2 linked regions of the Mytilus edulis genome follow. The protein of the gene in region 1 interacts with the protein of each later gene in a biochemical or structural test. Links are inferred from orthologs where the notes say so. Each region holds a gene or a part of one and is shown on either strand. Other genes may lie near its edges.

What was found.
Region 2: of the proteins of insulin-like peptide receptor (region 1) and E3 ubiquitin-protein ligase CHIP-like, one has a biochemical effect on the other in vitro, tested with the Caenorhabditis elegans proteins (2 studies listed by BioGRID, with this or other methods). The link is inferred for Mytilus edulis from reciprocal best matches to the Caenorhabditis elegans genes daf-2 and chn-1.

What each region holds. Positions count from the first base shown.
Region 1 is NC_092347.1:4,562,699-4,575,891, forward strand, and holds the start of insulin-like peptide receptor, read left to right. Parts: upstream 1-6,223; 5' UTR 6,224-6,910; coding exon 6,911-7,037; intron 7,038-13,193. UniProt on the Caenorhabditis elegans protein: Insulin receptor-like tyrosine kinase which regulates metabolism, controls longevity and prevents developmental arrest at the dauer stage.
Region 2 is NC_092352.1:15,884,258-15,897,429, forward strand, and holds the start of E3 ubiquitin-protein ligase CHIP-like, read right to left. Parts: upstream 6,944-13,172; 5' UTR 6,851-6,943; coding exon 6,758-6,850; intron 4,289-6,757; coding exon 4,090-4,288; intron 3,344-4,089; coding exon 3,178-3,343; intron 2,310-3,177; coding exon 2,231-2,309; intron 1,823-2,230; coding exon 1,766-1,822; intron 1,298-1,765; coding exon 1,181-1,297; intron 1-1,180.

The sequences.
Region 1 (13,193 bases):
CGCCATCTGCGAAAAAACAGCTTTTAAGCATTTCTTCCTATTTAAACATTGTATGTGGTCAATAATTTAGAGTAGAAAAAATATGTGCGCTAATCATCTTATTGCTTGAAATAAATGGGGTGAATCTAAGAGATTGCAATCTGCATTGTAACTACCAGACTGAAATAAACATATTTCGACTTTTCTAATTGTTTGATTTGTAGCTTCATTATAAATATTGATGTAGTGAAAAGACCTTTTATTTATTTAATGTGAATAGAAAATTTAGACCAAAATAAATAGAAAATAAATTGATGAAAATTGAAATTTCAAAGAATTTCTAAAACTAGTAAACACATTATAAAACTTGACTACTTGATTGCTTAAATTGCGTTGTTCATTGTTTACATGCATTAATTCGTCAAATAAGAATAATTTTGAAGAAAAAATCTCCATTAATACGCAACGATTCTAGTTACAACTAGACTTCCTGAATAGCTTGAATGACTAGTTCATTTTTCATACGAGGATGACTTCATGCAAGAGTTTCTGATGACGACTGAAAAGACGCTATCATTATCTTGAAACTTCACGTTCCATTATATAGATGATGTCATCTCACTGAATATCGCAAAATTTGTGACAATGTTGGACTCGTATTTTCAATAAAAATAAAAGACTCAAAAGATACAGTTTACTCTATCACGTATCTTGAAATCGATGATGAGGGTTGGTTGAGAGCAAGTTTTACGACAAAAGAGATGAGCATAAAACAACCCATAAAAACACCCCTTACTACCAAATTATAAACTTTTCATTTCTATGCAACTACATTATAGCAACGCCTGCATATCTATACTACTAAAGGAGAGACCGATATGAGCCTCAACTCCTCTGAAATAAAGGCAACTATAGTATACCGCTATTAAATAGTCATCAATCGATTTACTATAGTAACTGAAATAAATCCGGGTCACAAAGCAAAAACTAGGAAAACGCATCAACTATAAGAGGAACACAAAGATATAACAGAAACACAGAACTGCTACAAAAACAAACGCCAACATACAAAGAAACAGATTATTCGATACCAACTGCCATATGCCTGACTTGGTACAGGACATTTGAAGAAAAATGGTGTTTTAAACCAGAGTTCAAATGCAAAGTTGAAATCATCCCTTTGAAAATTTCATGGACGCCACTACGAGTTGGTTGCAATTATGAGATATCTGTTTCGCCAGATGACGACTGATAAGTTCCATCGACGTAACCAAATTGCCGTCATTTCTGCCGTGAATGTCACCAACCGAATAAGGCTTGGCACCGAGTTAGGAAATACATGAGCCACAAGACGGGTAAAAGAGAGTCGTGGTGTAGTGGTTAGTGCATCGGACTACTAACACAAAGGTTACTGGTTCGTTTCCATTCCGTGATGAAAATTTCAGGGACTGAATTTTCGGCTCTTCCTTGACACCATTTGTGAGTATGGTCTTGAGGAAACGATGAAAGTCCGTCGGAAGGGGACGATAAATGACTGACCCGTGTTAAGAGAGAGCCATATCTCTTGTAAACACACCTTTGTAGATTTCGAAAAAGAGCAGGCTAATGCCGCTACAAGGCAGCACTCGCACCCGCAAAGTGGAAAGCGATTAATTTAAGTTGCAAAACTTGTTTCCCAATCCACTATAAATAAATATGTTTAAACTAAGACGGGTGTCACTTGTGGAACATGATCTGCCTACCCTTCGGGAGCCCCTGAGTTAATTTAAAAAAATGTTTTGGGGGTTTGTGTTACTCAATCTGTAGTTTTATATGTTGTGTTTTGTATACTGTTGCTTGTCTTGTTCGTTTTTTGCCTGGCTTTGTCAGTTCGTTTTTAATCATGAGTTTGATGTCCCTTTGATATATTTCGTCACTATTCAAGTAGTAAAAGGTTTTAAAATTGTAGATCAGTGTAGCTAAATGTATCATGATAACGATTTGGTTCTATATATATATCATCGTGAGCAAATTCAGTTATTTTCGCGGATATTTGTCTTATTGCGTTAATCTACTTCACTTTACTTTGAGGTGATTTTTTGGCTGATTTTCATTACTGCAAGTTAATGTGTTTAAAATAAATTAATACCAAAGGGACAATCACCATGAACAAAATAAGATTAAAGTCCAAGAGATGAACAACAGTCCAAAAAACACGGCATACCATGAAAACGAACACTCCTAAAACAGCGAATGATCTTATGAGGTCAGGAAGGGTATTTAACTTTTTCATTTTGTTATTTCACAACTGTTTATAGTGTTTTACATACACAATGACATGCATTTGTATTTTTAAAGCTTATGTAGAAAATACTCAAAGCATATTTTATCATCAAATAATTAAAGCGATTAAACTTCTAAATACATTTAATATGACTTACTATAACACGATTTTAAACTAAATAAGAAGCAGCCGCATTTTTATTATTTAGTTCGTTTACATTCCGCTTTAGACAACCAAGTGTTTCTAAACTAGGTTACTTATTTCAATGTTGCCTACGATTTAGTCGCAAAGTAATGTTTGCATTTAAACAAGATTACAAAAAGTAAAACAGTTTGACTTCGTAAAAAACATATTTTAACCTCAATTATATTTTGCTTTTTGAATAATTTTTAATTTTTTTTAGGATTTGTGATAAATTTCAATTTTTGGGAAATTTTGCGCATCGAATCTCTTATTTTTTGTTTGATTTGGAAATTATGTATCATGTTCCATAAAGTTCATATGATCTTCTGGAAAATTTTATGGTACAAGAATTAGAAAATGGCGTTTTATTTAGTAATCGCAAAAATTGGAATTTTTTTCATGACCTTTGACCTTGATTTAACAAAAATTGCACCGTACGATTTTTTTACGACCGGGTAAAACAGAAAGTACAGATTAACAGCTTTCGAATGATATATAATACAGCCGTGTGTTAGGTGGGTGCATTAAAGTCGTTAACTAAGCGTCTTTTTGAAATAAGTCACTCGCCTATATGTAAGTGTGACATAAAATACAAACTATGAAAAAATATCATATATCCTAGTTTATTTTTTGTGTGGGCTAAATTTATTAACAACTTGTGTTTTTTTTTTCCAAATGAAAGTAATTTACTCTATTTGTTTGTTTGGTCGATGTTAGTTGAAAGCTACTTAGCTATGATTTCATGTGAAAATGACCGAAAAATAGAAAAAAGAAACTCAAGGTGAGTGGACGGAAAATTCTTTTCCTTTTTTTTGTTGCTTTTCACTAATAGAAGTTAGCCCTCCTCTCACATTTCAGTTGACTCCTTCGCCACTCTGTATAATAGGCTGATTTTTTGCGAGCAGAAAACTTAAATAAACGAAATGGGGTATACTTTCTGCTACCTTATAACGTTTATATATGTTTATCCCCTAATTTAATAGTGTTTTTTTTTAACAGTATGTAGTATTTGTATATTGAGATACAGCTACAAGGAGTGTTTTAGATACGCAACAATGAGTGTTTTAGATAAAGCATAATTTATCATTTTGATAAAAATAATGAAATTCTTTCAACTACTTAAATTCTTTGAAATCCTTTTATTTATTTTTTTATGAAAAAATATTTATTAAAATAAAAATTTGTTAAAAAAAACCGCTATACAATTTCAGTTATATATATTTTACTCATTTTAGTTATACAATCTACCGTTAAAATAAAAATAATATAAAAATTACACACCTTCATAAATTAAGATATTTGAATTATTGTGTCAAGAAAACGCAAAAAAGAGAATCGAATGACAACTTCATAAGGAAATTACGGTAATGAAGATCCCACTCTGCCAACCTACAATCATTCATCTTCAATGTCATATATATTTTTGTCAATATCAATGCATATGAGACAATATCTGAAAAAGTCTAATTTCCATGTCCCTCACTTCACCAGCAATTATTTTTTTATTCAACCATCTTTTTCGAAAATTTTAAGTTTTAGTATAAACTAAATTCTATAATGCACCATGGCCTGCCAATTAAACACTCATTCTTATATTTCTTCCAATAAAATATTGTGATTCAAATGTTCAACCCCCCCCTAAAATCATGTTGTCCCCTGTGTTTTTTTGAAAACTAAATCATTCAAATAATATCCAAATTAATTAAAAAGGCGTCCGATTCTCACATATATGATATATTATGTAATCAACTTGCCCCTAATTTGTCTTTTTATATTATAACTATAGCATGTAATAAAATTTTGCCAATTTTAAGAGAAAAAAAAATTGTCCCCAGGGGTGATTTCCCTCCTGTTACCACTGGGTTTTTTTTACCTGTGGAAACGTTTACAAGACCAAGAGTTATTTTCCCATTATGTATTGTGAAGAGCATCATTCCCTGAATGTATTAGTACAAAGAAATAGTTGGAAAGGCGGCCAGGTTTGAAAATTCAAGCCCATCCAAGGTAAGAATTTATAGAAAAATACTTATTGGTGTTCTATCCTGTTATAGCCTTTTTTTACACTTTCTGAGAATATTTTTAAGTGTGCACCACAACATTAAGTGTGTTTTTATATCATCTTTTTAAAAGTTATATGTCACAGGAAATACACTTACATTTAATGTGATAAAAAGGACAAAAACTATCGCGTAATTCCTTTCTGTTACGTTCTGTCATGTTACCTGATCAAAAGTAACAGCATAACCATCATCAGTAACAGGAAGGATGTTCAAGACAATTTCACTGAAGAATCGAACAGTTAATCTACTATATGCCAACCATTTCATTTAATGTAAGTTATCACCACCATATCAAATAAATTTCAAAATAATATACAGTATATTGAATAAAAAAATAGGTTTTTTGCTTTTGATAACAGCAGAGAACATTGTGCAATTCTAGTATAGTAGATAGTAACAGAAAGGAATTTATTTTAGAATTTTTCATTACCTAGGCAGATTTTTCATCTTGCAAATACAGTTTCAAAGGATAAATGACATTGTTTGCTGTTATCTTCCAATTGTGACCAATCTAAAATGATTTATTTTTCTTAAACTTTAAAATAAAGCAGAAAAATCCTTTCTGTTACCAACTCTGTCCTGTTACCGTTGTCCTGTTACTCAAGATTCTTTCATGTTACCGACATATCTGACTATATTTAAGTATATTTCTAAACCTTTTGTATTGCAAATGCTAAAATCAATAATTGGCATTTGATAAACTATTGCAGGATATACTAGTAAACCACAAATAGTGTCTTAAACTTATTCCTTATTCCCATTAGAAACTTTTAAAAATTGATTCACTTTGGTAACAGGAAAGAACTGTATTTTTTTTGTACCATTTTTTAAATTGCCATTGTTTCCTTAATAAACAATTATTTGAATTACAGACAACAGTTCCTAGATCCCCAATGTGTGTTCTTCGATTTGTGCTATTAAAATACCGGGTCTAAAGAATTTTTTTTGGTTTATTCTTATTGCCAAAAACTAGACTTTTTCAGATATTGTCTCATATAGCAATCATGCCACAGTCGAGGAGTTACAGTAGACAATTAATACGTGTAGTAGACATTTTTTTTAACAAGGAAATGCTCCCAAAACAGCCAGATGCATTTACAGATAAAGTTTGCAGAGCAATAAAATTTAAAAATGCTCAGTTAGATACAAACTTGTAGGATTGCGTTTTATAGAGAGAAAAAAACCTTCCGACTAAAATTGATCGTGATTTACATTGGACCCATGCAGGATGCAGGCAGCTGAAATATTAAATATTTTGGAAGTTTTTAATACGATCACAAAGAGGGGTATAAAATTAACTTAAAAATGTTAAATAGTATGCATAATCGCATTATTATCCCATTTGATAAATAATTGCTGAACATATTTGTTTGTGTAAAATTCCCAATCAATGTTTGATTTAATATTGTTGTAATTTACCTTTTTTCGGAATAAAACAAATCACTAAAAAATCGTGTCTGCATTTTAATGAAATTTATAAATATCTCATAGAAGCATCACATTTGACAAAACCATGACTGCCTTTATTTTTTCTGTTCATTATATTGCCCCTATTGACTTGAACAAATACCAAACACATTTTTTCTGCAATTTATAGTCTTTATCTACTTTAATTGCAGGGTTTTCAAATACTTAAAAATTATGAAATTATAAATTTTAGTAAATTCTGTGTAAAAAACTGAAGGAAACCGGTGTTAAATTCCACAATATATCTTTGACGTCATTGGCAATATTTTAGAAATTAGACAAAATGACCACAAGCGGTAGTCTACAATACTACAAAATAGACTTTAGGTGGTGACCTTGATCGTTTTGGATACGAAACTACAGCATTGATCATGGTTGTAGCTCTGAATGACTAATTGACCAATCATCTAACGAGGTTGTTTACGTCTTGTTTTCCGCTATGTACATTGAAATGGAGGTAAAAAATAAGTATTAATTTATCAAATACACATTGGAATTCTTTTTTTGTGATGTAAAAATCGGTCAAGGTGATACTGCAATACATGTGAGATTAATTCGGATGCTCGGTTTTACTGTGGACTGTGAAAATGATGGACATTTCCGGGCTTGTTTTGCATGGTTTTTCAACAAACAATACAGAAGTTCAAGGCCTATTTCATGGATAGTTGTACTGAACAAATTATGAAACATTCAAAACGAGAATTTCATCAAAATGTAAAACCAAATCATCAATATTGTATTGGATTCATGTCTTTATTTTCATCGCAACATGCACATTTACATTTCGATTTCTCATGGCCCAGGTTGCTGCCTTCATCACCATGTGTGAAATCATTCATCCAGATTCATTGATAAAATGACGATCAACAAAAACAACAGTGTGTACTTACTAGATATTTGCATTACCAAATTCTGTGATATTGTATAAACGTTTATTTTTAACATTTGATAGACTAAGATGAGATTTTCAATGGCTTCATCATGTATTATTATTTTCGTTTGTTGTGTATTGATGTCATTTGTGACAGGCAAGCGTTTGAGTGAAGGTTTCAACTCTCCACCAGCAACTGAACGAGAAGGAACTAGTAAGTTTTCTTAAACAGTTTATTTATCACTAAAATCATTTTAAGAATGAACATAATAATGTTTACTAAGACTTAGACCTTCATTTTTGTACTTTAATTAATATTTGTTCTTTGACTTTATTTTTACTCGCTATAGTAAATATGTAGTATAAATATAATCTCTTTTTTGTAAAATTTTTGATAACATATGTTTATCTGCTTTTTTTTCAATTGATTTTACTTGCAAGTCTTTTGATTCAACAAAAGAAATTGCTTGCCCACTCCTACATTTTGTAAGTATGGGTGGGCAGTGGACAAGCTAGAAATTTTGCCCACCTGGTGCCCACTACCACTGTAGACGGGTGGGCAAAGCAAAATAAGCCTGTAGCATGATATAAATATATAAGAAGATGTGGTATGAGTGCCAATGACACAATTCTCCATCCAAGTCACAATGTATAAAATGTTTACAATTACAGTGAATTATCATGATTATAGGTCAAAGTACGGCATTGGACACCGCCTTGGCTCATACCAAACAGAAAGCTAATAAGGCCCCATAATAACAAGTGTAAAACAATATAATCTGCAGGAAAACCATTGGTCTTATGTGTGTGTGATTCTCTATTTATAAAAAAACAAGACACAAGAAACATTTATGAGGGGGATAGGACCTTTATTCAGGATCGGGTGTTTTTAAGCTCGGAATTTTGGAATTGAACCTTTCAGGATTTGGAAATTCTTTTTCAAATTTCGGGATGTCAGGATTTAAATTTATTTAAATTCGGGACTTCAGGATTTCGTGTTTTTAAGCCCAGAATTTCAGGATCAGGACCCCTCCTACCTCCCCCTCATTTATTCACCACTGTCATGACTGTCCAGACCAACAAACAAGAATCACTGAACAACAGGCGCATGACTTAAGACAGGTGCTTACAAATGTCTTTCTTATTCTCTGTGTTGATAATGACAATAGATGGGTCATGTACAAAGGTATATGATCTTATTTAAATATTTCATTAGCTGGAGCTAAAAATTTGAAGTGAGAAAAACAACATTTGGTGAATCTAAATCTTGCAAACCTTAGTTTCTTATACATTGTATGTCCTACCCATTTACATTTAAATGTAAATAGAAAGAAAATGTACATGTATCTTAATTTGAGAATGGGAATGGGGAATATGTCGAAGAGACAACAGTCCGACTATAGAGCAGAAAACACTTACTATTTTAGTGATATGTGTGTGTTTGATGTAAATTTTAAGAGTGTTCCTATGTTACCTTATAATTATCCCTTTCCTCCATAATGATGCCTTTTGACGCCTGTATAGTTCCTCAGTTAAAATGTCTTGCCTACGAAAAAACTTTATCAGACTTGAAAAAAATTGTATCTAATATAAAAAGGATATTCAAGAGAATATCTGACTGGAATTTCGTTGATGAAATATTTGTTTTCACAATGCATTAATACTTGAAACCTAATGACATTTTTTAATTGAAATGCTTATATAAGGATTTTAGATTTGTGCTTTTTCACTTTTTTTGTCAATTCTGTTTACGGTAGCATGTATACTTACATGTATAGTGTGACTGTGCACATTTATGTTATACTATAGTTGTTTGAAGTGATGTTTATCAGACAAAGTGGCACAACTCAGACAAAAATTTCACACTGACACAGTATGGTTGTTTCGATTGTTAGCTAAACAAAAATTGCATTCAATATCAAATAGAGAAAAATTGAAACAGAAATTGAAAAAAGTGAACGTCTTTCTGATATTCAAAATCTCCTTAACATGCTTATTATAAGTGGAGGAAAATGAGACAGTTTGAATAGTCATTTTATGTTTAATGCCAAATGCCATAGCGGATTGGGCATAAAGATTACCCTCGTCCGTCTGTACGTACGGACATACATTTGTACGTAACATATTTGTACATCCGTACATACATGACATACATGTACATGTACATCCCTAAGTTGGTTTCCATTCTCTAACTTTAGTTTGCTTCAACCAAATGTTAATAAACTTATTCAAAAGCTTGTTACCACAAAACACAGATCAAGTTTGAATTTTGGTGGCGTCACATACATGTACTGTACCGTTCTCGAATAAAAAAAATGCTGAATTTTTTGTTTTCGTTCTCTTTCCTTAATTTGCCTTAACCAAATGTTATTAAACTTATACACAATGCTTATTACCACAAAATACAGATTTTTGGTGGTGTCACTTCAAACATTCTAGAGTTATGCTCCTTTACAAAGGGAAAAATAGGAATCTAATATCTGTTCTAAAAGTAACAATGATGTAATTTTCAAAATAATTTTTAAAATGGCAGTTATCTTGTCCATAATTGTAATTGATTGAATCAACTACAACCAATGCTTTATACAATGCAATGTTCATTAAAAAAATGAAAACAGCCTTTACCCTAGGTGCTTACAAGCATTTTGATTAATGTTCTTCAGTTTTGTCCCTTTATAACTTTATATAAGATGCAAGTGAAGTGGGGGTATCATCTGTGTCCCATGGACACAATCCCCATTTATAAATGTTATTTTGCTATCACAATTTTGTACTTGTGAACATTTAGGTGGAATTCCTAGGTTATAGGTATAATCAAAACCATCACTCCATGTACTGTCAAAAGATTTCTCTTGTAAGATACTAATAAGATACAATAAATTAGGTGATTTTTTTTTTCATCAAGAGGGAACTTAACATTTTTTGTACATGTACATACATGTAGCTGTTATTTTTGTGACAGAAGAAAAAAAAAATATTGCACAAAACTGAAATAAGAACATGCAAGACATATAAAGATTATATAAATTGAATTTGACTTAGAGCATACATTTTTAACATGTACCTGTACAAGCATACATGTACATGTTCGAAAATGTACGTACTGTACAATGTACATATAAATAGTCTCCCTTTAAATGAAAGAGGTGTATTAGTTGATTTGAATTTAGACCTACACATTTATGTCTTCATACATTTTTTAAATTAAAAATTGGAAAGCACTGACATTTTAATGATCGATACACTTGAAGATTGAATTAGCAAATTAATTAATGCTGAAATAGAAGATGAGATGCATTTCCTCAGGAATGTAGTCAACTTGAAAGGATCCTAATTATATATATATATATATATATAATTTAAAAAAATAAAATTGATAAACATAATATATAATATTGTATTTTAAATTGATACAAACATAATTTTTTCCTGACATACATGTAACTGGAACCACACATATTTATATTTCGCGTAAAGGAATAAGTAGCATTGCAGTTGAGACAACTGTCAAATAAACATTATACAAACAAAATGAAGTGAATTTAGGTACTTTTACCTTTAAAATTGAAAAATAATTGGAATAGAAAATTTTGCAGTTTTATGCCCCACCTACGATAGTAGAGGGGCATTATGTTTTCTGGTCTGTGGGTCTGTTCTTTGTTCGTTTGTTCATTCATTCATCCTTCCGTTCGTCCCGCTTCAGATTAAAGTTTTTGATCAAGGTAGTTTTTGATGAAGTTGAAGTAACATTAACTTGAAACTTAGTACACATGTTCCCTAATATAATGATCTTTCTAATTTTATTTCCAAATTAAAGTTTTGACTCCAATTTTACGGTCCACTGAACATAGAAAATGATAGTGTGAGTGGGGCATCCGTGTACTATAGACACATTCTTGTTGAGTACTAAATACACATTTTTGTACATTTTGAACATTTGACCTGTTACTAACTTGAAAAGGTGATGATTGTATTTACATTGGAAACTTAAAAGTCAGGATTTATTCATATGTATATCTTTGCCAATTGCTTGTTAAACACCACTTTCAACACTATTGTGCTATTTCATGGCAGAAATTGTTTTTTATGGTTGAGGAAATCAGAGTGCCCCAAGAGAACATTTGAATTTTTAACATGGCCAGAATAATAAATTATCCCTCTTTAATAAGAATTGTACCCAATGTACTGCTGTTCAAAGACTATTTTTGTTGATGAGCTTGGGACTTTTGTCACAAAAGTGATCCTACATTCTGTCGTCGAGACAATGGGTTCCACTGAAACTTCCAAATTTTTCTTTTAATGTATTATTTACCAATAAATCCTAATAGTGTAACCTTTATAATACAAGTACATGTAAGCTAATCAGAGGATGGACACTTTTTCATAGTTATCTTTTTTATGAAATGCTTTTCATAGTGTGAGATAAGAAAAGATCTGTTAATGTGCTTCGTTTGATGCTTCTTTTTCTTCCTACATGTATACATTTGTACATACATGTAGTATTCATATAAAGCTTCCTTTTTAAGAAGATATGTATGATTGCCCTGAACTTAGGCCAAGGAAAAGTCTCCACCCTTGTCGTTTTCATTTCTGATGCAGATGCAATTATAATGTATATTTATTATTCTTATCGATTTACCACAATTATTTCTTCAATGAGTACATCAATATCTTAGGTCATATGCTGCAAAAGATGTGAGAAGCCTACTACATGTATGGTAACCAGTTCATGGTAACCAGTTCTTCATTAGGGGTGTTTAACGACCTTGACTACCCTTGAGGGTCTTCCATGGTCTGATATTCTACATTACCATGAGTACTGGTACACTTAAAAATATGTTATTTTTATCAAAATGAATTACAAAATGTTGATCAAAACAATACATTAATTTAATATTTATTTTCTAGCAAAAATATATTTGTTTTAATTTTATTCAAAACCTTAAAATCAATTTATAGATATATAATCATCACAAGTTAAGATATAAAAGAAATGGGTGAAATATTTTTATTGTTAAAAAACACAAGTCATTGAAAGAATGTGCAAAGCTAATACAAGAAACTCTATAACAATCTTTTGATGTCAGTGTTATTAAATTTTATTTAGAGTATCATTTTCTGATATTTATTTTTCATTTTAGCACCTTTTCTTAAAGATTTGACAGAATATTTATTTAGACCATTTGACAAAAATACAAAATTTCAAAAAATTTGAACTTTGCCTGAAAAATTTCATTATATATATATATATACAAAGTAATTTGGAAAACATTAATTTTGATCATTGAGAGACTTATCAATAGGTTTTGTTTTAACATTCAGCTGATTTTACAGAGTTATCTCCCTGTAGTGTTATGTACTTCGCGTGGAAATTTGAACAGGCCACACAAAGTAGCGTAAAAAAATAACCAATATTGGTCTGTTTAACTTAAGGATAACATGTTCTGGTAAATGTTTAGTATTGCCATTATTTCCATTATTTCAACAGTTGTATTTAAATATATTATAAATTACAAAACAGCAACATATTTCTCAGTTTGAATTAGATATATATATTACAGTGAGTTGACTGTTAGTGTTGCTCTCCACCAATTGCAACTCATTCAAAATTTTAACCAAATTGCAATTTGTTTTACAAAATCAAATTGTTCAACTGGTCAGAATTTTGAACCAACTGCTGTAGAAAACCACAGCCAAGTCATGAAAGTGCAAGGTGATAAAATAAAACATACTTACAATCTATAAGACTTTAACTCCACTTTAATGATGTGACAAAATTAGTTTATCAGTTTGTATAGTTATATTATATTCATTTCCATGCTGAAGTTTGAATTGCTATTAAATTGTCCAAACTAAGCTTTCATATAGTTTTTCTTTCTAAAAGTATTCTATATTTATACGAATCAGATATCATTTTAAATAAAACATCATATGGAGGTAAAGTCTTATAGGATTGTAAGTATATTTTATTTTATCACCTTTCACTTTCACATTTTGACTGAACAATTTGTTCAATATTCTGACCAGTTGAACAATTTGGTTTAATAAAACAAATTGCAATTTGGTCAAAATTTTGAATGAGTTGCAATTGGTGGAGAGCAACACTAACAGTCAAGTCACTGTAATAGTTTTCAGTATCTACACAAAACAGTGGTCTGAGTGAGGTGATCCAGGAACCTATTGTCTGCTTGTAATTATCCTAAAAGAGAATTTTTAATTTATCTGATGCTTCAAATCAGATTTAGCTTTACTTGAGAGGAAAATATGGCTTATTGAATATTCTTTTTTTTTTTGCAGAATTAATGTGCAAGGATTGGCATAAACAATTACCAAATTTAGAATGATAGTTAAATTCTATGCAAAACTCAAT
Region 2 (13,172 bases), on another chromosome or scaffold:
CCGGGTCACAGGACACATTTTTTAAACGAGATACCCCAATGATGATTGTGGCTAAGTTTGGATTAATTTGGCCCAGTAGTTTCAGAGAAGAAGATTTTTGTAAAAGATTACTAAGATTTACGAAAAATGGTTAAAAATTGACTATAAAGGGCAATAACTCCTTAAGGGGTCAACTGACCATTTCAGTCATGTTGACTTATTTTTAAATCTTACTTTGCTGAACATTATTACTGTTTACAGTTTATCTCTATCTATAATAATATTCAAGATAATAAACAAAAACAGTAAAATTCCATAAAATTACCAATTCAGGGGCAGCAACCCAACAACGGGTTGTCCGATTCATCTGAAAATTTCAGGGCAGATAGATCTTGACCTGATGAACAATTTTACCTCGTCAGATTTGCTCTTAATGCTTTGGTTTTTGAGTTATAAGCCAAAAACCACATTTTACCCCTATGTTCTATTTTTAGCCATGGCGGCCATCTTGGTTGGTTGACCGGGTCACCGGACACATTTTTTAAACTAGATACCCCAATGATGATTTTGGCCAAGTTTGGTTAAATTTGGCCCGGTAGTTTCAGAGGAGAAGATTTTTGTAAAAGTTAACGCCGGACGACGACGGACGACGGACGCCGGACGCCAAGTGATGGGGCTAAAAATAACATAAAAAGAATACCAATTTTTTGACTTCTTTTCATTTCATTTACATAACAGAAATGCAGTCGACCCACACAAATATAACCTATTATAATAAAGATTGCCTAGTTCTATAATTAGCTTGTTAAAGCTTTACTGCTCATCTTTCAATCAAAAAAGTATGGTAGTAAAATTTTACTTATCAGAATCATTGAACCATGAAGTACATGTTATTGTGACCTCCACATGAAAACTGTTACCTAGATTCAATGTACTTCAATCATATACATTGTTGTAGATCAATGATGTTCTGAATATCATATTGGATGCTCTCTGGAGAGTTGTCTCATTGGCACTCATACCACATCTTCTTGTATCTATATATAGTTTTGAACAAATAGATAAGATCATACTGCAATAGATCAGAATGTTTCAATGTAGTAACAAATGTAGTACATAAGTCTATTTCTTCTATAGCATGTGAGTAACATAGTCTACAATACCAAGTCATTTTCTCATGTCATGACAAAATATAATATACCTGTAGATGTTCCACAATGTCCTTTTTATCATATGTAATTCCTGAGGGTGTAATGACTGGTTCTCTCATCAATTCAAAACTTATCTTCCCACATAAATAATCAGGAACATCTCTTGTCTGAAAACAGTAGAAATACTAAAAATAGATATCACATGAAGACTGAATCTTTATACCCATTTATGTCTATGGTCTCATTTCTTCAAATGCTAGTATGTTTAGTTAAACTGGTTTTAAAAGTTGAAATGGATACTAACAAACAAATAACTTTGACATTACACGAACAATCTTTTTTGAAGAACTGTAAAGTGATGTCCATCAATTGAAAATATTGTAAAAGTGTATGTCAGCATATTCAATAACATTGTTTGCTTGTTTGACACAGCTTAAGATAACTTTCTATACTTTCTACAAATATCATATATTGATATCTCAAGTTCACTTTATTTTTATTGCAAATGATGCAATTATTTACAAAAAGTAATATGTTGTCCGACAGCTAAAGTGTTCTCTAATAACAATTTAGTAGAAAAACATATATATGTTCATGTATGTTTTCATTTTAAATTCAAAACAATAATGATATACCTTTCTTCTGTGATCTAACTGGGAAAATAACTCATTTACATCCTTTATTCTTGTGTCCTGTAAGAAGTAAATCATTGTATCAAACGTTACTCAATACATGTATTAAAAATAAAAAAAATAATAAACCAGTCTACAAGAAGGGTTGAATGTACCAGTAGTAAAAAATAATAAAATCATTATTTTGTTGAAATATGATAATAAATAAGTCAAGAAAAATACTATGGAAGAAGTTAAAAATTTCTCATTTCTATTCTACCTGAAGCACATATAATGAACATTTAAAGCACTTTATATACAACATAATCATTTCAAATTTCCTTAACTTTTGTTGAAAAGATTAATACACAATCTTTTTTATCTTTTACTAAAAGTCTAAATTAATGATTGTATCAAAAAAGTGCCAATTATAAGACTTTTACAAAAATATTAATCCCTCTACCAGTAATACTTATCTGTATTTCTTACATTATCTTCTTCTAATGCATTCTGTACTTCTGTAAAACTTTCTTGATCGGAGGTTTCTTCAGAAAGTTTCTCCAGTTTCCTGTAAACCAATTATTGCCATGTACATTAAACTTTATTTATTTATCATAAGGTACAAATACACTGCACTGTTTAAAAGATACAATGCACTGATATGTAAGGTGCAGAGTCTATAAAAAATTTCATATAAACAAAATTTTTGCTTCTTTTTGACAAACGAACAACTTCAACAAAGGTCTTTTATTATAACGTAATATTTCTCTTTTAATATGAAATATCATAATTTTCGTAAATATCTTTCATAAAAAAAAACTGATTGACATACATACAATTTAGTTTACAGTAACTGTAAGTACTCTAACATCAGTAATTTGTGTCTTTCATCTATTTTTCTTAACTTTTTTTGTGATATCTGATATTTCAAGCTGTTTCCAACTAGGTGTTACAGTTTGTGCTGATGGTGTGTTTTGTTGTTACACCACTGTTTGATGTCAGTTTGAAGGTTTAATACTAAAAAAAAAACATGTTTAACCCTCCCACATTCTGTATTGCTTGTCCCAAATCAGGATCATGTTTGCTTTTCATTAATATACATTTTGTCAGGAAATTCATCTTACTGATGAAGGCTGTAAAGTGACCTACAGTTGCTTACATCCATTTCATATGGACTCTGGTGGATAATAATATTTAATTGACTCATTGACAATCATATCATATCTTTTTATTTTTTATATCAATCATAACAGGTACTTGATACTTTTAAAAAAGCTTAATTTAGAGGATTCCTCAAGTTTCAAAACTATAGATAGATATAAGAAGATTTGGTAGGAGGGCCAATGAGACAACTCTCCATCTACTGGTAATCATATGACAAATAATGTAACATCTGCTTATATAAATACTTCTGATCTCTTAAAATGAAGACTTGCCTCTTTTTATCTTCAATTATGAGATTATTTATATAAGACTGTAATTCTATTTCCTCTTTGATTCGTTTTTCTTCTATTGCATTCCATCTTCTTTTCTTAGCCATTCTAAGAGCACCTGCTATATCATCTCCAAAATTTAACTTTTGTTCTTTGGCTAAATCATTTGCTGCAACATAATAAAAGGGTCAAATAAAATCTAAATAATTGCTTTCTTTATATAAATCATTTGACACAATTTAAACTCTTAGAAAGTTATGTGAAACATAAAGAACCCTGGTCTCATTAATATGATAAATGGATAAGACTAAAGAGGTAAATCTGAGAAAGATAAAAGGATGGGTAGGGGTCAAATACATGAAGAATGACCGTATCTGAAAAAAATCCTGAAACAAGGAGAAAGTGTCCTATTTGGAGAAACAACATTCAAGGAACAAGTATTGCAAACACAAGACAACTTTCCTTACAAAATGTATTTCTTGCAGCAATATTGTTCATTAAATTGATAGCAAAAAGATATGCAGTAAAATTCAACTAATTGTATTATACATGTAGCTTTGAAGTACACACTAGTTAGAATCTACCAGAATAAATGTTTCATTGTAATAACCATAAGATGGCTTACACAGTAATTTTGTGATTTTTTTTTCAGACTCATCAATTTAAATCAAATGTTCCATTCTTGTATACTATAATGTGGCCTTTCAGGTACTGTATTATAATGAGTTTATCCTCATTTTCTTTTTTTTTGGTGTATTTTAAAATTGAAATCATAATAAATGTAATTCTTGAGTTGTCATATTTTTAACAGTACTGTTTTAAATAATATACAAATGTACGTAATTTCTGAATTGACTGAAAAAGTTTTCAATTTGTATTGATTCATATACATTTGTAAACTTATTTAATATTTACCTCTCATCAAACTTGCAATAGCTTCATCGTACAAACCAAGCTCAACCAAGGCTTGTCCCATGAAAAAATGTCCCTTCACTAAAGATCTGTCTAAATCTAAGGCACGACGGCAATCTTGTTGAGCTAAATCCCACTTTTTCATTTTTAAATAACATAATGCTCTATTTGTGAAGTAAGTTGATGTATTAGGACTTTTCAACTGAAAAAAAGATATGACTGTCACTAAGGTTAATTTTCTTACAAAGTCACAAAGCAATTAATTTTTTTTTTTAGGATGAAACATTTATGATCACAATTGGTGTATAGCTGTAATGTCATTCTGTCTTCCTTTGTGATTTATTACTCAATATTTATTTTCCAATAACTGGCCTGAATAATTATTATCTTTATACAAAAGTTTTCTTCAGACTTCCATGTAATTACTTATAGATGCTTTTGCTCAAAAGGAATAACCCACACAACTTTATTCAGTCTCATTTATTTAAAGAGTATGTGACCTGTCTGTGACATTTGTGTATACCTATTATAGGGTTAATCAATAGACCTTTTCAGAGCTTTGAAGCCTTTCATGTGATCCAGCCGGAAGTCGATATGGCCCAAGTTGTTTCCTAATTTCTTGAATACATTGTAATAACAAGACATTTAGTCAAATATTTTTTTAAATATTTATCACCTTAAACATGTTAAATGAGTGAAGATGATTATGGAGTAAAAAGCATTTGTGTTAATAATGATTTTATTAGAAGTTATAACATGTAAAATGAATATTCACTTTTGTGCATGTATAACTTTTTTCATATTAAAAAATAAATTGTACCATGTATATCGGTTAAAAAAATAGCAAGTTTTCAAATGACTGATCTTAATAAGTCTTTCAACTGTGTAATTATAATACATGTAGTTCCATACACAACTGCACAAGAAGATTCCCAAGGGGATGCACACAAATTTTTGTTTTTGTCTAAAGTTTAATATAATACTACTCAAATCAAGAAATGTTGTTTGATGGATGTCATTCATTATCAATGTTGATTTTTTCCTAAAACATATTCCTCTCATCATTTATTAAATATATATGATTTTAAAAAAATACACACATTTTTCATGTGCAGTTCCACTTTCCATGAATCATAAATGTAAAAACCTATCTTGATAGTTATTATTTTTTTACCATCAGGGTTGATTAACTTGGGCAGGTCAGGAATAACCACCAATTGGTGGATTATACCTCAATTGACGAATTGACATATAATGATATAGACCAATTGGTGAACTAAATCTTTGTTTTTCAAAGCAAATTATACCACCAAAATGGAGCATTGTTTTCTTAAAACCATATTATGGTATGAAAACTTGTCACACATTCCTAGTTTAGTATAGTCACATAACATATTGCATTTAATCAATAATTGTATTTGCAGTTTCTTCTATTGTTATCTTGTCAATTCTTGATTGGCAAATTAACCACTAATCACCTGTCAATGGACATCAATACTGTGTGCAGTCAAGTGATCATGAGTACAACTCCACAGGTGAATGGAGCTCTTTGTTAATACTTGACTTTCATTATCAAAAGTCAATAGTACGAATGTTTCAACAAAAGGATTGTTGTACACATGCATTCTCAAGAGATGCAGCAGGCTTTGACAAAACTGAATCTTTGGAGGACTCAATATTAATAAGGGTCATAAAATAGGTTGCAAGTTGCAAAATCATGCTCCTAACTCACACTAGCATTTTATTACAAAAAACCTGCATTATATGGGGACGAAGTCCCCAATAACAGTAGAAAATTCAAAAAAAAAAAAAAAAAAAAAAATCGGGAAAATTTTCCCGATATTTTCATTGTACTAATGAACTCAAAATCGTTCAATTTTTTTTTTGTCAGGTTTTTGAATTTCTGGATTTGCGCAGAAATCTACAATGTACTTCCTTTTTCCGGTCTCGTTTGTATGAAACTTTGAGTAAAATATATATTTATCAGTATAGTATAAAATAGGAAGGAACACAATTCCAATTTCATTTTTGATAATTCCTTGATATGAAAAAAAAACGCAAATAGTCAAAAAATAACATAAGGACCTAAGAGCTACGGTTCCGCAGATCCGCAAATAGTCAAAAAATAACATAAGGACCTAAGAGCTACGGTTCCGCAGCTACCTGATGATAGCATTTCTTTGTTTACATTGCATATGACGTCATAACTTAAATAACGTCACAACTAAAATCCCTAACAACAGAACCAAAATCGGAAACGTTACTGTATTGCCGTTTCTTTTTTTTTAACAAATATTTAGTTACAAAAAAATAATTCATACAGACTTCGTCCCCATTTACAGGTAATGCCTGCCTCATATTACGTCAATTGGTCTATACCCATATATGTCAATTGGTGGATTATATGTCAAGAGGGGTATAATCCACCTATGGGTGGTTATTCCTGACCTGTTGGGGACAAGATTGTAGCAGAATGACATGATAGTGATACCAAGTATTTACAAATTGTTGCTGAAACACTTTCAGAATTTTTGTTTTATAGGAAAAGAACACATCCAAAAATATTCTATATTGTTTACCAGTATATATAATTTTTCAACATAACTGGTGTACCATGTTGCAGTCTACATGTACATAAGATCATTATTCAGTCATTATTTCATTCACTTACAATAGCTTTTGAATAACAATTAATCGCCGAATCAAAACTTCTGTTTGCAAAATATTTGTTTCCTTGATTTTTAAGATCTGCAGCAGCACTCATACTTAACGCTCAGAGAAAGTAAAGAAGTAAGGGGAATTTAGCATGAAATCAAGATTTTTTCCTTAAATTCAAGGTCAGACATCTACTTGTAATTACAACGAAAATTGTCCTGTTTTCAAACGTTTCTATGACTAACAAAATATTAATTACAACGACGGATAAACCATGTAAATTTCCGAAATTTTTCAGACATTCTATTCGGCATTTAAACCATACAACACAACTTCAAGCTCTAGAGAGCTCTACACCAAATATAAAAACATATACATAACACAAGAACAATAATAACAACATGCATTACATATTTGGCATCTATATGTGAGAGACCTAGTTTGCCATTTTGTACTCATGCTGTGCATTTTCATGATGATCTTGCATGTGAAGTATGATCAAAAGTGTTTCTTATAAAAAAAAAAAAAAGAAGAAAGAATTATAAAGCACTTTTAATATAAACCAATTTAGAATATTAAGGTTGATACATTGATTGTTTGTTGCTTAACGTCCAGTGGCAAATATTTCATGCATCACGATGAATATAGGCTAGGTATACATAGGTTGGTCCGTCGGCCTCCGTAAAATATCCAGCATGCCTTCGGAATATATATGTTCTATAACATATATATATATATATATATATATATAGAACATGCAGGGTTATAGAACATCAGTTGTTCGACCTGTTAGTCAAGTGCGATTTGTTTAAATATACTTTTTCACTTTTTTGGTCTTTTGGAAAATGTTGTTTGTGCTGCATTTAGACCCTTCTACAACGAAATTTGTTTTACATGCACACGTATAAAAATTGCGGTTTGTATCCAACGAAATCATAGGTTTGAACGTAGTTTTCAATTTAGACTTGTATATATACAAATAGTATTGTCAAGTATTTCAATAACGGCCATGAAACGTAAGACTAATCTTGGTTAAACTTGGAATAACATTTTATATTCAAGAACACAGAAATTCAATATTAACACTGGCATAAGAGTATGATCCACTCTCTAACCATATGAATGAAAAATCGTAAATTTGAGATGATCTGTTTGACAATTAAAACACTGAAACTGGGACTATTATACTATACTGTGATGCTGTATTTTTTCTTATGTCCACCACGAAACGGGTCAAATCTCCTTCAGTATCTGGTTTTAGAATTATGAAAAATATCAGTGTACAGCTTAGCCGATGTGCTTTGATAATCTTTGATAAAAAAAAATCATTTTTGTTACTATTGCAATATAGGGATTGTGGGAAAAAAATAAACATGTGAATATGTCCACTACGAAACAAGTATATAGTCTGAATTTATTGTGAAGACTGGGAAAATGACTAAACATATAGTGTATAGTCTAGGCTTTTCATTTTACCGATGAAAAAAAAACGTATCAACAAACGAACAAAATAGTTTTAACTTATAAAATCATATGTAAACATTTCTATCCATGACCATTCTCCTAAAAAGTTAGATTTTAAAGTTAAAGTTGTTTATCGGGAATTTGTAAAATTCGTTGATAAATTTTCAGAAAAGGATCTTTGTAAAATTACATATGCACTGCATGAGCAACATTAAATCTGATATATGTGAAGTATAAATATCATTTTTGGCATAAAAAAAAGTTTTAAAAATTTGATCCGTATGATGTAATATTATTCATCAATATGTATTTGATTGTCATTTTCCTTTTAATTATTAAATGTGATCAATCTTTATGCAAAAAATGCAGACACTTATTGACTATCGACATATCATTATAATGTACATCGTAATAACAGATGTTAACTAAGTACACCGATTACCACTACTTTCATCAGCATCCAATCTGACGTCACATTTCTCAAACCCTCTAATCGACGTCCAATGTCACTTCATGTATCATGTATTGCCAAATCGATGTCCTATCGATCAGAATCTCCTCTAATCGATGTCCAATATCTTTTAATCCCAGTATACTAATCATTATTTGTTTTCCCTATAATGATTTTTATATTTTTAAGAATGGTAGAACACTATTTCGTATTTCTGAACATTCAACCACCCAATAAACGTTTAACTACAGATAACTCGGCACTGCAACTTTGAAAACTATTTTTATTTCTACAAACTTAAAAAAAGAAGGACCAAATGTCTACCGAATGTTAAGTTATGCATTATTTCGGATACAAATACATTTAAATTGGTTCACTTTCTCCTTCGATTTAAACTTTCAATAACAGACATAATTTTACCAGTTTGTTTAACAAACAAAAAAAAATGACCTAAACATGCTTTCAACAATATTGAGTCAACTCGCTCAAATAACGAAAACATTGAGATGTGACTATTGGCGATATTCTTTGCATGGTACAAGAAAATAGTTGTGTTAGACAAAAATAGCTGAAATTCTAAGAAAATATTAGAAATTCCCAGACACAAAATATGAAATTCCCAGACAATCTATCTACAACATTTAGAGTTGTGGTCCGCATGAAAAGGGATCAGATAAAAAATATTAATTGAAATTGAAATAACAATCTGTATACTTTGTTGATAAATTTATGAAAATTAATCCATTTTATTCTTATTTTTTTTAATCATTTTTCAAATTTTATTTGGTTCAAATAATTTTTTAAACTAAGACCTGGACAGCTACTTGAGACTGGAAAAACTATGATTATAGGGCCAAATAATCAGCTATCGATTTGAAATCTTATTCTTTCACGTAAAATTGGACGCCAATTTGAAGATTCCAAATATATCAATTTACCTCGAAATATAGGAACGTGACTATCATGTAAAACATAAGAGGATGAAAAATGATTTCTTCCTTACTGTCAAAGTAACAAAATTTCGTTACAAACCTTGTGATTGAGATAATTATAGATATTCCTATATTTCTATGTTGTGTCATGTGTACAATTGTTTGTCTGTTTGTCTTTTTCATTTTTAGCCATGGCGTTGTCAGTTTATTTTCGATTTATGAGTTTGACTGTCCGTCTGGTATCTTTCATCCCTCTTTTTCACAATCTTTTCGATTCTGAAAACTAGAGGTCCTGCTAAGTTCCCTTTTAGAAAATTCTTTATAAGGCTGAGTTTAGTGGGATGATGCGAAAGATACCAAAAGCCATTTATTTTCATGAGTCGAAAATAGAACGACAACGCCATGGCAAAAAACAACAACAAAAAAAGACAAAAAGACAAACAAAAGTATACACAACACAACACAATACAGAAAACTTGAGACCTAGCAATACGAACCCCATAAAAAACGGCAGTGATTGCAATTACTACGTAAAGATAAGCATATCTTGATCCACATGTAGCACCTGTCGTGTTACTAATATGAGTACTCGAGTGTACTCTTGAAGATTTTTTTTTCTTGTATATAGTTATGCATTGATCTCAATTTAGTTTTGTTGTTGCTTTGCATTTGTCACAAGCATATGTATATGCTCATTTATTATAACTTCTTAAGAGTAAACAATATATGTTTATGATAAATGAAGTTATATATCCATTACGCATTTATTTGTTTATATTAATCTTGTTTGTTTTGTATCTCAAGTTAAAGCAGTGGTTGCATTTGAAAGCAAACATTAGACCCCAACGCAATTTGAATAATTGTTTGTTGATTTATGTTAGTCAAGATACATATTAATAACGGTCCATATGTCTCGTTATTTGTAACTTGGGTGTAGCAAACATAAATAACTTGTCAAGTGAAAAACACAATACTTCATTATTACTCAAACTTGAAGAAGACAAAAATAGATATTGTATTGAATCATAATTAAAAAAATACAAATAACATATAAACCAACGATTAAACACAGTGAAAAGGTCGCGTTTTTTTTTAAACCAAATAATAAAATGTTATTACATACCATAAAACCCACGTTTGTCAGATTGTGACATCTTTTAAAAATGAAAAATATATTGACATCCATCATCCATGCAACTCCAAGCATTTTTTTTAAATTATCAATCTCAGTTAATACTTCTATGGTTAATATATAATAAGTACATCTTTTGTGTATCTTTATAAATCTTTTTTTCTCTAAAAAAAAACCCCAACCAAACCAAATTACAGTGATAAAGAGATACACTAAATATATATCACATATTGCATATATTACAGACATGCAAAAGTAAAATAAGCAATATAGATTACCATTTAAGATTTTAGTTTTCTATGTGTGTCTGTTCCCTTTTTTTAGCCAAGGTATTGTCAATTTATTTTCGACTTATGAGTTTGAATGTCTGGTATCTTTCGCCTCTCTTTTATAACGGCAAAGGGCCTAAGTGCTGATTAATAATTCTTCTAAATTTTCATGTTGTTGAGATCAAATACATTTTTGCTATTCATCATTCAATTCAATAAACCTTTAGGAATATGATTAGTTTCTATATTTACTTTTCTATAGCTATTTATTGTCCTCATTAGATAGTTCATCTAATGTGTCTTGTCAACACTGAGGTTATATAAGTATGAACCTTGACGAACTTGGCAAGTACATTCGTTTCTAAATTGACCAGGGTTGTAGGTTGTCCTGCCGCATGTCAGGGATTCTCTCCAGGCACTCCGGCTTTCTAGATGCTAAGAAAAAAACCTACGACATAGCCAATAGTACCAATGGTGGCATTAAACACCAACAATCAATCAATCATCATTAGATACAGAACATGTAAAAATATGATGACATTCGTCTCCAAAATCTTCCGAGCTACAAACTTCAAAGTTCTATTAGTTCTTGCAATATTTTGCTATCTACCAGTCAATGTTTTTATAAGACATGCGATAGTTTAGAGTTCTTTTGGATGATACTCTTTTAATTCTTATTGACGCAACCTCTATTCTTCGTTGTGACATCACTTAATTTGTTCTTACCTTGAGCAACATGACGGTACCACTATATAAGCTCCTAGTTTTTGTAGGATTCATGTTGCTCAGTCTTTAAGCTTCCAATGCTTTTTTATGATCTTGTTGAGTCTTTTTTATGATCTTGTTTGGTCTTTTTTATGATCTTGTTGAGTCTTTTCGCCGTCATTTGAATGTGTGTCATGTTATCAGATCTCTTCGGCTTCTTTGTTTTAAATGTCTTATTGGTATCTTTCCCTTTTTATTTTCTACATCAAACCTGTATTAACTGGTCAATTCAATTGTGACTGACCATATGTCATTTATGAATTACCGAGTTTCCCATGTAAATGACAAACCACAATCATTTGGTGCAGTAATTTTTCTATACGGAGTTTAATTTCGATTTCCAAATGATATGCCACATTCTCCATACAACCGTATACATTAAAATCTAGTGTATACTTTTTAACCGTTTAGCTAAATATTTGTATAGTAGGAAGAATTAGAGCCGTATGGACACATGAAATCAGATCCTACTCTGCAAATTCAACAATAAGTATCATTTGTTTAAAAAAATTACTGCTTTTTATTTACCAATAAATTAACTGCATATATATTACTGCATTAGTATACAACCCATTAATAACATATCAATTTAAGCACATGGTTTTATACATTTTTTTATTCATTTAATGTTTTGTTCGACAAGGTTGTCCTATTCCACCTATATTTAAAAAGGAAAAATAAATATTTAAGTTCAGAAAACATGGTGACAGCATTGATTTGAATTTCAAGAAAATTGACAAAATAGGGTTTTACAACTTAAGTACATAGTCATACTAATAATTAGATTTATATACTGAAATAGTTCATTGGGATTATGACATAATTTTTTTTTATTAATCAGTCAATCAAGAAAGTTTGTGGTGTTTTATTAGAATATTATTCGTAATTTTTGCATTAATATTATTTCTCGTTATCATTCAACACTCATAACTATTTTGATTGGAGGGCGTGTCTATTGATAAAAAGGTAACAATATCATTTCATATTTCACAGTTAATCAGACAACAACTTGAGAAACATGTTACCTATATTACTAGTAATTTTGTCTATCCTTTGCACTGTTTATGGTGCTCGACACAAGGGCAATAGGGTTACAATCGAATTTGAGGATTCTGCAGATTTGTCTCGACACCAGGACCGGGTTATGTGGAGAGGTGGAGGTTCGATGAAAAGAACGCTGCTTCTATACGAAGAGGAGTATATTGATATCAAGTTTTGTCTTTCTGCTCTTACTAAAATAACTGTGACTAATATTAGATATTCAAATGACGGCTTGTCAGACCATGTTCTCTTATTTATGAACAATCAAACAGTCGCAGAGTTTGAAACTATTTACCGAACTAACTGGGGACATATGTGGAATGTTTTCTCCGAAACAGGGCCTTTGACATATCCTATATTGCTGTCTCCTGGATACC